Linked DNA regions of Arabidopsis thaliana. The protein of the gene in region 1 purifies or fractionates together with the protein of each later gene. This does not show direct contact. Each region holds a gene or a part of one and is shown on either strand. Other genes may lie near its edges.

What was found.
Region 2: the proteins of PORA (region 1) and OEP16-1 fractionate together in Arabidopsis thaliana (co-fractionation; one study listed by BioGRID). This does not show direct contact.

The regions. Positions count from the first base shown.
Region 1 is NC_003076.8:21,990,334-21,994,638, reverse strand, and holds PORA (protochlorophyllide oxidoreductase A), read left to right. Parts: upstream 1-1,824; 5' UTR 1,825-1,865; coding exon 1,866-1,919; intron 1,920-2,009; coding exon 2,010-2,120; exon of another isoform or gene 2,121-2,202; coding exon 2,203-2,740; intron 2,741-2,837; coding exon 2,838-3,196; intron 3,197-3,300; coding exon 3,301-3,456; 3' UTR 3,457-3,775; downstream 3,776-4,305. Other genes in the region: AT5G54200 (Transducin/WD40 repeat-like superfamily protein), read left to right, coding at 1-66, 177-270, 515-1,074. UniProt on the Arabidopsis thaliana protein: Phototransformation of protochlorophyllide (Pchlide) to chlorophyllide (Chlide). PORA may also function as a photoprotectant during the transitory stage from dark to light.
Region 2 is NC_003071.7:12,413,412-12,417,624, forward strand, and holds OEP16-1 (outer plastid envelope protein 16-1), read right to left. Parts: upstream 2,251-4,213; 5' UTR 2,049-2,250; coding exon 1,935-2,048; intron 1,848-1,934; coding exon 1,796-1,847; intron 1,545-1,795; coding exon 1,513-1,544; intron 1,417-1,512; coding exon 1,383-1,416; intron 1,306-1,382; coding exon 1,238-1,305; intron 1,159-1,237; coding exon 1,012-1,158; 3' UTR 697-1,011; downstream 1-696. Other genes in the region: CXIP4 (CAX interacting protein 4), read right to left, coding at 2,581-3,579. UniProt on the Arabidopsis thaliana protein: Voltage-dependent high-conductance channel with a slight cation-selectivity; selective for amino acids but excludes triosephosphates or uncharged sugars.

The DNA.
Region 1 (4,305 bases):
AGACGCGAAATCAATCTGAAGAACAGGAAAAAGAAAACCCATCACAAGAAAATCACTGGTTTTCAGGTAAAGCTAAAACAACTTACACCGTTCTGTTCTCATCTTTTCATTTATACTACAATTTTGTTTTGGATGCTGTACTGGTTTATCTGACTATTCTCGTGAAACTTTCACAGTTTGTGGCAGGAAGTTCATCGGAAGTTCTCGTCACATCTGCAGATTCACGTACGCGTGTTGTTGATGGTGTTGACCTTGTTCACAAGTTTAAAGGTAAACAATACTAAGCTTAAAACTCTCTTCTCCATTCTTAGAACTCGGGAGTTAGGAATAACTTTATTGTTCATGGAGGTGAATTTCTCGCTCTATCGTCATCTAAGATACACATGAGTCCCACATTTCATGAACATGATGTTCTTTCGCTTTTTCTTGATCTGGTGTTGGAGTAAAATAAGCTCAACGTTCTTGCCAAGTAATGTGTGTTTTTCTGAGTTTTAGAAAATTTTCGGGTTCGCAGGATTTCGCAACACGAATAGCCAAATCTCGGCTTCACTTACATCAAACGGGAAATTCCTAGTATCAGCAAGCGAAGACTCTAATGTGTATGTATGGAACTACGACTCAGACTCTCGAGCAGGAAGAAGCAAACGTGTCACAGTCACAAACTCATACGAAAACTTTTATTGTCGTGACGTCTCTGTGGCTGCACCTTGGCCTGGCAAAATCAGTAACAACCACACTAACAACAGCCCCGAACAGTCATCCTTCACAGCCAATAATAACCCTCCGACACCTGTCAACGATCCAACCAACAACAAAACCGTCACCAACGGTATCATTTCAAGCGCCACAAACCGATACTTCTTCGATAGAGTCTCAGCAACATGGCCTGAAGAAAAACTCTTGCTGGCTGCAAAAAACCGAGCCAGAACAAGCCCTCGTGTGAGCGTGGACATGTCTAACATACAGGTTAACACAAAACCGAGTGCCTCGGCGTGGTCTATGGTGATTGTGACTGGCAGTCTACGAGGCGAAATCAGAATATTTCAGAATTTTGGATTTCCAGTTCGTCTATGATGCAAGGAGAAGGTTTTACAATATCAAAATCCTAAGGCAAAGTGAAATTTTCCCTTAGTAAAACCATCTCCTGTCAAAAGTGTATAGATTGAGAGAAGGTTTGGTTCATCCACTGACTTCTCTCGTTTTTTTTTTTTACCACGCTTCTTTTATTTATCTGATTTGTTATCTCTAAAATTCAAATCTCTAGCAAATATATATAATGTTATTTTTAAGAAAGATTCAAATAGGCAGAAAAAGAAACTTCATATACCAATATAGTTTGCTTCGATGAAAGTCTGTGCTATTCAACTTGAAGTTTGTAGAATTTGTCTCTGATATTATAACTCTTCAAGGAGAGAATATATGGTAAACTTTTGTATACACATTTTGTAATTGTCTTTAGGTTTATCTTTACATGTAAAATAATTGGGTATTTTTGTCAATTCATCATTTCAATGAACAGTTTTATCTTTAGATCAGAGTGTCCATAACAAGTCAGAGTATAATTTTGTTTCATACCTCTAGGGCTCTAGCTCTCTGTTAATCCTCCCATACACAAAGAGATGGAGTCCCATGAAATTATACATTAAAATATCTACTGACAGAAAATCTAATTCTCGAATTATCATTGGCTTTAAGAAAAGAAACTGACAAAAACTTTCCCTAAAGATAATCTTATCCACACATATCCTAGGAAACACATATGGGAGGGGACCACCTTTCTCTTGTCTCAACTTCTATATAAACTCACGCAAGCACAGACATTTGCATAACATTCACATTACACTCTTTAAGTCTTAAACGAAACAATGGCCCTTCAAGCTGCTTCTTTGGTCTCCTCTGCTTTCTCTGTCCGCAAAGATGTATTTTATTATCTCTTTCTTTGTTTTAGTAATCGTTTCCTTTTTGTTTATGACCTGTCTCGGAGATTAATTCGCATGTTTTGGTTGCAGGGAAAATTAAATGCTTCAGCATCATCATCATTCAAAGAGTCTAGTCTGTTCGGTGTTTCACTTTCGGAGCAAAGCAAAGCTGACTTTGTCTCTTCCTCATTGAGATGCAAGGTACCAAACACAATCTTTTATGAGTATTTTTCTTGGAAAATGATGTAATAATCTAATCAATTGAAATGCTTCTACTTTGTAGAGGGAACAGAGCTTGAGGAATAATAAAGCGATTATTCGAGCTCAAGCAATCGCGACTTCAACTCCATCAGTCACAAAATCTTCCTTAGACCGCAAGAAAACACTTAGAAAAGGAAACGTGGTTGTCACGGGAGCTTCTTCAGGGCTAGGTTTAGCAACGGCAAAGGCATTAGCCGAGACAGGTAAATGGCACGTGATAATGGCGTGCAGAGACTTCCTCAAGGCTGAGAGAGCCGCTCAATCTGCAGGGATGCCTAAGGACAGCTACACTGTGATGCATTTGGACTTGGCGTCTTTGGACAGCGTGAGGCAGTTTGTTGATAACTTCAGGCGAGCTGAGATGCCTCTCGATGTGTTGGTCTGCAATGCCGCAGTCTATCAGCCAACGGCTAATCAACCTACTTTCACTGCTGAAGGGTTTGAGCTTAGCGTTGGGATAAACCATTTGGGCCACTTTCTTCTTTCAAGATTGTTGATTGATGACTTGAAGAACTCCGATTATCCATCAAAACGTCTCATCATTGTTGGATCCATAACCGGTCTGTAGTCTCCTCATAAGAAGAATGCTTTATGTACTTACTACTTACTCTAAACCCTAAATCTGAAATCTTATTCGTTTTGTTTCTTATTGAGCAGGAAACACTAATACATTGGCTGGTAATGTACCTCCAAAGGCTAATCTTGGTGATTTGAGGGGACTAGCAGGCGGGTTGAACGGGCTAAACAGCTCGGCGATGATAGATGGAGGAGATTTTGTTGGCGCAAAGGCGTATAAAGATAGCAAAGTCTGCAACATGTTGACAATGCAGGAGTTTCATAGGCGTTTCCATGAAGACACCGGCATAACTTTTGCTTCCCTTTACCCCGGTTGTATTGCAACGACTGGTTTGTTCAGAGAGCATATTCCTCTTTTCCGTACCCTCTTCCCTCCTTTCCAGAAGTACATCACAAAAGGTTACGTCTCCGAGTCAGAGGCTGGGAAAAGACTTGCTCAGGTTAGAAAATTAACCAAAACCTAACGTTGTTTGTGACGCAAGAAACCATTCTTTCAGTTTATTATTCTTGCTATGTACTCAACCTATGTATTGATTTGTTGAAGGTGGTGGCTGATCCAAGCTTGACGAAGTCGGGAGTGTATTGGAGCTGGAACAAGACCTCGGCTTCATTTGAGAATCAGCTGTCTCAAGAAGCTAGCGATGTCGAGAAGGCTCGTAGAGTTTGGGAAGTCAGCGAGAAGCTCGTAGGCTTGGCCTAAAATTTGATATGAGATTTTTCCTCGGTGTTTCAACCTTTGGTTTGGCTTAAGATGAGAAACAAACAAAAAAGGAGACATTAATAAAGCCTGTAACAACTTTGATTTAGTAGTTGTGTTTTGGCTGATTCTATCTGTAATGAAACAAATAATTCCACTTTTCAAGTTTTTTTTGTCAAAGAACATGAAACAGAGATTGTAAACTACAAGGAGAAGCAGAGTCATACAGCTTTATAACAAAAAGATTAGAAATAAAGAGACTCTAATATCACCTACAATCATATATGTTTTTATTTTTAATTTAGCGAGTGTTCAATAGACCTCAAAACAGAGCAAAAAAAACCGGAGAAAGGAAAAAAAAAAAAAGAAGGAAAGGGACCTGTCAGACCGCCGTGCGACCACCCCGGCAAGGTAGAACCGAGCCGAGTAACGATCCTCTACAGCACCGGATGCGTCCGAAGACGATCGTGGCCGTCAATCACGCTCTAGCCGCACGGTCATGGTTCATCAACCAGGGTAAAAGGCCTGTCTCTTGAGAAATCAAGGAAACAGAGGTACGAGCCTATAGAACAGATCCTGTTCAAGTAAGGTCGTGACCATCAACGCTCTCACAGTCTTATATATTCAAGAAGTTAAGTTTCTAGGCAAGCGATGTGGGACTTTTACGGAGCACATGACATAACTCGATTTGGCGATATACGGGCCAACGCCCACTTAACTTATATTTACGAAAAGCCCAAACTTATATTATTTGCTCCAAATAAAATCCAGGCAGGGTAGAGTTTGCTTTGAATAGTCCCTACTCGGATCCTTTTTAGTGCTCCAGTTTTGCAATATTCTCGTTTTTCTGAC
Region 2 (4,213 bases), on another chromosome or scaffold:
ATTGGAGGCCACCGGCCACCACCTAGAGACTTATTTTTATAAAGACTTTGTTAAATAAATGTAGGTTGAGACTTCAATACTAAGGCCCAAAATTAAAGCTCAAAGTCTAATCCCATCTATTCATCAAAAGCCCAATCTATTTTAGGAGTTTCTTAAAAGAAAATTATTGGTTGTTCTGTTTTACAATAAATATTTTTGTTTCTAATATGCTTGTGGTATTCAACATGTATAATTATTTATTTATGATTTCTAACTATAACCAAAGATTCATATACTTTAGCCAATTTCCTCATATATAAATGGGAAAATGTCAAAAAAATCACGAACTTTCAAATTTAGGACGATTCAATCTTGAATTTCACGGAAGACAAATAAATCGTAAAGTTTTTGTTCACTTTCTAAATAAATGATAAAGTTTTTGTTGAATTGTCATTGGAGTCATGTCGTTGAGTAGGTTAACATAATTATTTTACGGCGTTAATGTCTCGTTTATCTCCTTTGTTAGAACAAAACAACATTGTTTATTGCAACTCGTTTTGTCCGTTAAAACAAATTTAAACCCTAAATCCCCAAATCGATTTCAATATCTGCGATTTTGAGGTCAAAGTAAGTCTGTGATTTTGAGATAATGAAATCGATTTGAGAATTTAAGGTTTCTATTTGTTTCAAAAGACAAAGCGACGTCGTTTTATTTTTTGGGCAAAGACTTAATTACTCTCTCTCTTTAACTATAGTGATAGTTGCTAAATACACATCGGACAACTCGTTATGGTTGAGTATACACATTAGAGAGTTTTATAGAAACCACAAAATCATTACTACTCTCTATACAAATTTTCATATTTCGAGGCATTTCTCATATTGAAAATAGCTAAATTGCATATTTAACGTCAACAATACTCGAATGTATTCATTTCAAAAACACTACATTGTTTTTTATTATTATTTAAAGAGTAAACAAAGGAATCCACACCATATGAACCAAATTGGTCCCTAAAGGAAGATGGAGAATCAGTAGAAATAATGATTGTTAACGAACTGAGAAGCGGTTGCAAGCGCGCCACCAAGAATGGCATCGATCACAATAGTGTCTTTGCCTTTCTTACCAACCGCTGAGAGCACTGCTCCTGTCGCCGCGCCTGCTAACATTGCGTTTTTCTGATACAAACAACTCAACCAATTAGTTCTACAAAACTGTAAGAATTGAAAAGAGTGTGAAAATGTATTAGTAGTATACCCAATCTCTGCTGCCACGGATACGTTCGATTCCGTATTCTGTTCCAATGTACACTCCACCAGCAGCTCCTGATCATATTCATATGCCACAAACTTTAGACTTTTCTTAATCACTCAAAAATGAGATAAATTAGAAAGCAACTTACCCCAGTAAACACCTTCTTTACACAACTTCTTAAGCTGCAACAATATTCAACAAAAATTTCAGAAACTTAAAAAAAGATTACACATGTCTTCAAACCAAAACACATAGATTTGATTCAGTAGTGTACTCACCGCATGCTCCAAAGTGCTCTTGGAGAGACTCCCTACAATATATGAACCATGGAGTAAAAAATGATATTTTGCAGCTCCAACAAACAAAGGTAATTAATGATAAGCACAAAAACAGATCCATCAAAGGTGTGTGCTAGTTGTTCTATATATATACAATACATTCTTCTATGCCTTTACTAATTCATCAACATCACCAAAAACACAACAGTAAAGTTACATAATAAAACTAGACAGAACAAGAACTAACACTTATGTGTTGTGTTTGATAAAGTTAAGGGCTTACCTTTGTCGATGGCCTTGTAAGTGTCTTCTGCAAGAGATTTAGTGACTCCAACCTAAAACCCATCAAAGAAGAAAACAACAATGAGAAACAGATCACAAATTAACAAAATGATCCATCAAAAAGAGATGAGTTTTTTTACAGCTCCGATCTTGAGGAAGGCATCAACGGTGAGATTGAGAAAAGGGTTTCCCATGTCCACTGCCACCGACAGCTTCGGCGTGCTAACAGTCCCGGAGAATGTGCTTGAAGGCATCTTTTCTTCTTCTTTCTTCCTCTGTTTTTGGTTTTGGGATATTTTTCTCTTTGATCTTTGCTTGTTCTGTAACAAGTTCACCTATTTCTTGGGATATAAAGGGGCTTTTAACGGTGGATATTTTAAACTATGGTTCAACGGTGGAGAAGAGATTAACAAGGACCCACGACGAGATATGTATTGAGCAATGAGCCAGTTAAATGACGACATTGTCCTCCTAGGCTAGAGCCATGCCAAAAATCCAACCCACAAGTCTCGTGATCTCTTTACAACGACACTTGCCGACGTGAGCTCTAACTTGCCGACGTAAATAATGGAATAGAGTAAAAAGACACAAATTAACACCAAGTATCTCAATAGTGTTATAACACAAGCTTGAAACAAACAGACCAAACCAGAGTATGGAGAGTGAAAATACAAAGACATGTTTCAACACAAATCAAATCCAACATACAAAGACATGTTTCATTATTGTACATAACATTGATAAGAGAGAAATGGAGAGTGAAAATGGCTCATATAGATCGATTTCCTACTCTCGCTCTTTCCTGTGATGACGTTTCCTGCTCTTCTTCTCAGACCGCTTAGAAGAACCACGTCCAACGCGTGAAACATCATCGCCTGAAACATTTGCTTCTGAGTCAGAAGAAGCTGCGACTTTGTTCCTCCGCTTCTGTCTTCTATCATCTTCAGAAGACTCTGAATCAGAATCATCAGAATGATTACGACGGCTTCTCCTTCTCCTCTTCTCCTTTCTACTCTTTCTCTTCACACGTCTGTCATCTTCATCCTCAGACTCATCAGAATCATCTTCATCTCTCTTTCTTCCTCTCCTCTCCTTTCTTCTCTTACTCCTTCCCTCTTCCTCATCCTCAGACTCACTCAAACTCCTTCTCTTATGCGAACTCCGCTTCTTCATCGACCTCCGCCTTCTCTTCCTATCTCCAGAATCCGAATCAGAATCAGACTCATCAGAAACACGCTTCTTCTTCTTCCTAACCGAACTCGTCTTCTTAACACTACTCCCACCTTTCTTCTTCCCAAACCTCTCAGCAATAATCCTCTCCATCTCAGAATCAACATCAGAATCAGAACTCTCACTCTCCTCTTCCTCTTCACTACTCACCTCCTCAACCTCACCTTTACCAACACCTCTCCTAATCTTCTCCAACCCCGACAAAACCGCAGCTTCAATCGCACCAGGATCTTTCTCCTTATCCTCCTTAGTACTCAAGAAATTCCTACACTGAAACGTCAAATGCCCAACACGGCCACACTTCTTACAAGAACCACGAGCCTCATCGTTATTCGAACCCGTAATCCTAGCAAGAGCCAAAAGTCCCTGAAAACTCGCGTACGAGTTCTCGGGATCTTCGGTTTTCTGTTGTGTCGTCTTAGGCTCTTCTTTACTAGTTGGTGCATAAGGATCATAACCAATCGCACTCTGCCATATTCCATGAGTCTGAAGCGCTGCACTACTATGCACCCGATTGTTTGCGGGCATACGCACTCTTCCTGCTGTCGCCGGCATCTTTTCGAAACCCTAGAAAAAACCTTCACAAACCTAAACCAATAACAGAGAAATATAGATTGATTAATACCTAACCAAATCAATATCTTCTCCAAAATACAATTACACAGAAATTTCACAACCCAATGAAATTACCCAGATTAAGCTGAAATCTAGGGTTTCAAGCCCCAAATCATCAAAAGCTCACATACTAATTTGCCGATTAAAGGGATAGATCCTAAATGTGAAAGAAAAACTCAGAGATCCTAGGGTTCCAATCGATCCTAAAGAGAAAGAGAAGAGTAAATAGTTTACCTGATTCGAGTGAAGGAATCGTTAGGAAGAAGCGACGGAGAGAGATGGATGAAGAAAAGGTTCAAACTTTGTTCTTCGCCAATGGCCTCTGAGGCAAAAAGGAAAGATTGGAAAGTCTCGAGGGTATATTATAAAGATTGGGAAATAGTTGGAACCGCCCTTTAGCTTTTGTTATTTTACATTTATATCCTCCAAATTTTGTGTATTTCATCATTTTTAGTTTTGTCACATAATTCGGCTGGGCCTGGCTGCGTTGAGAGGGATTTGGGCTGGGCCTGGCTGAGTAGTTAATATGTGTTTTTCTTTTTTACTGCTGTAATCATCCATCATCAAATAGTAA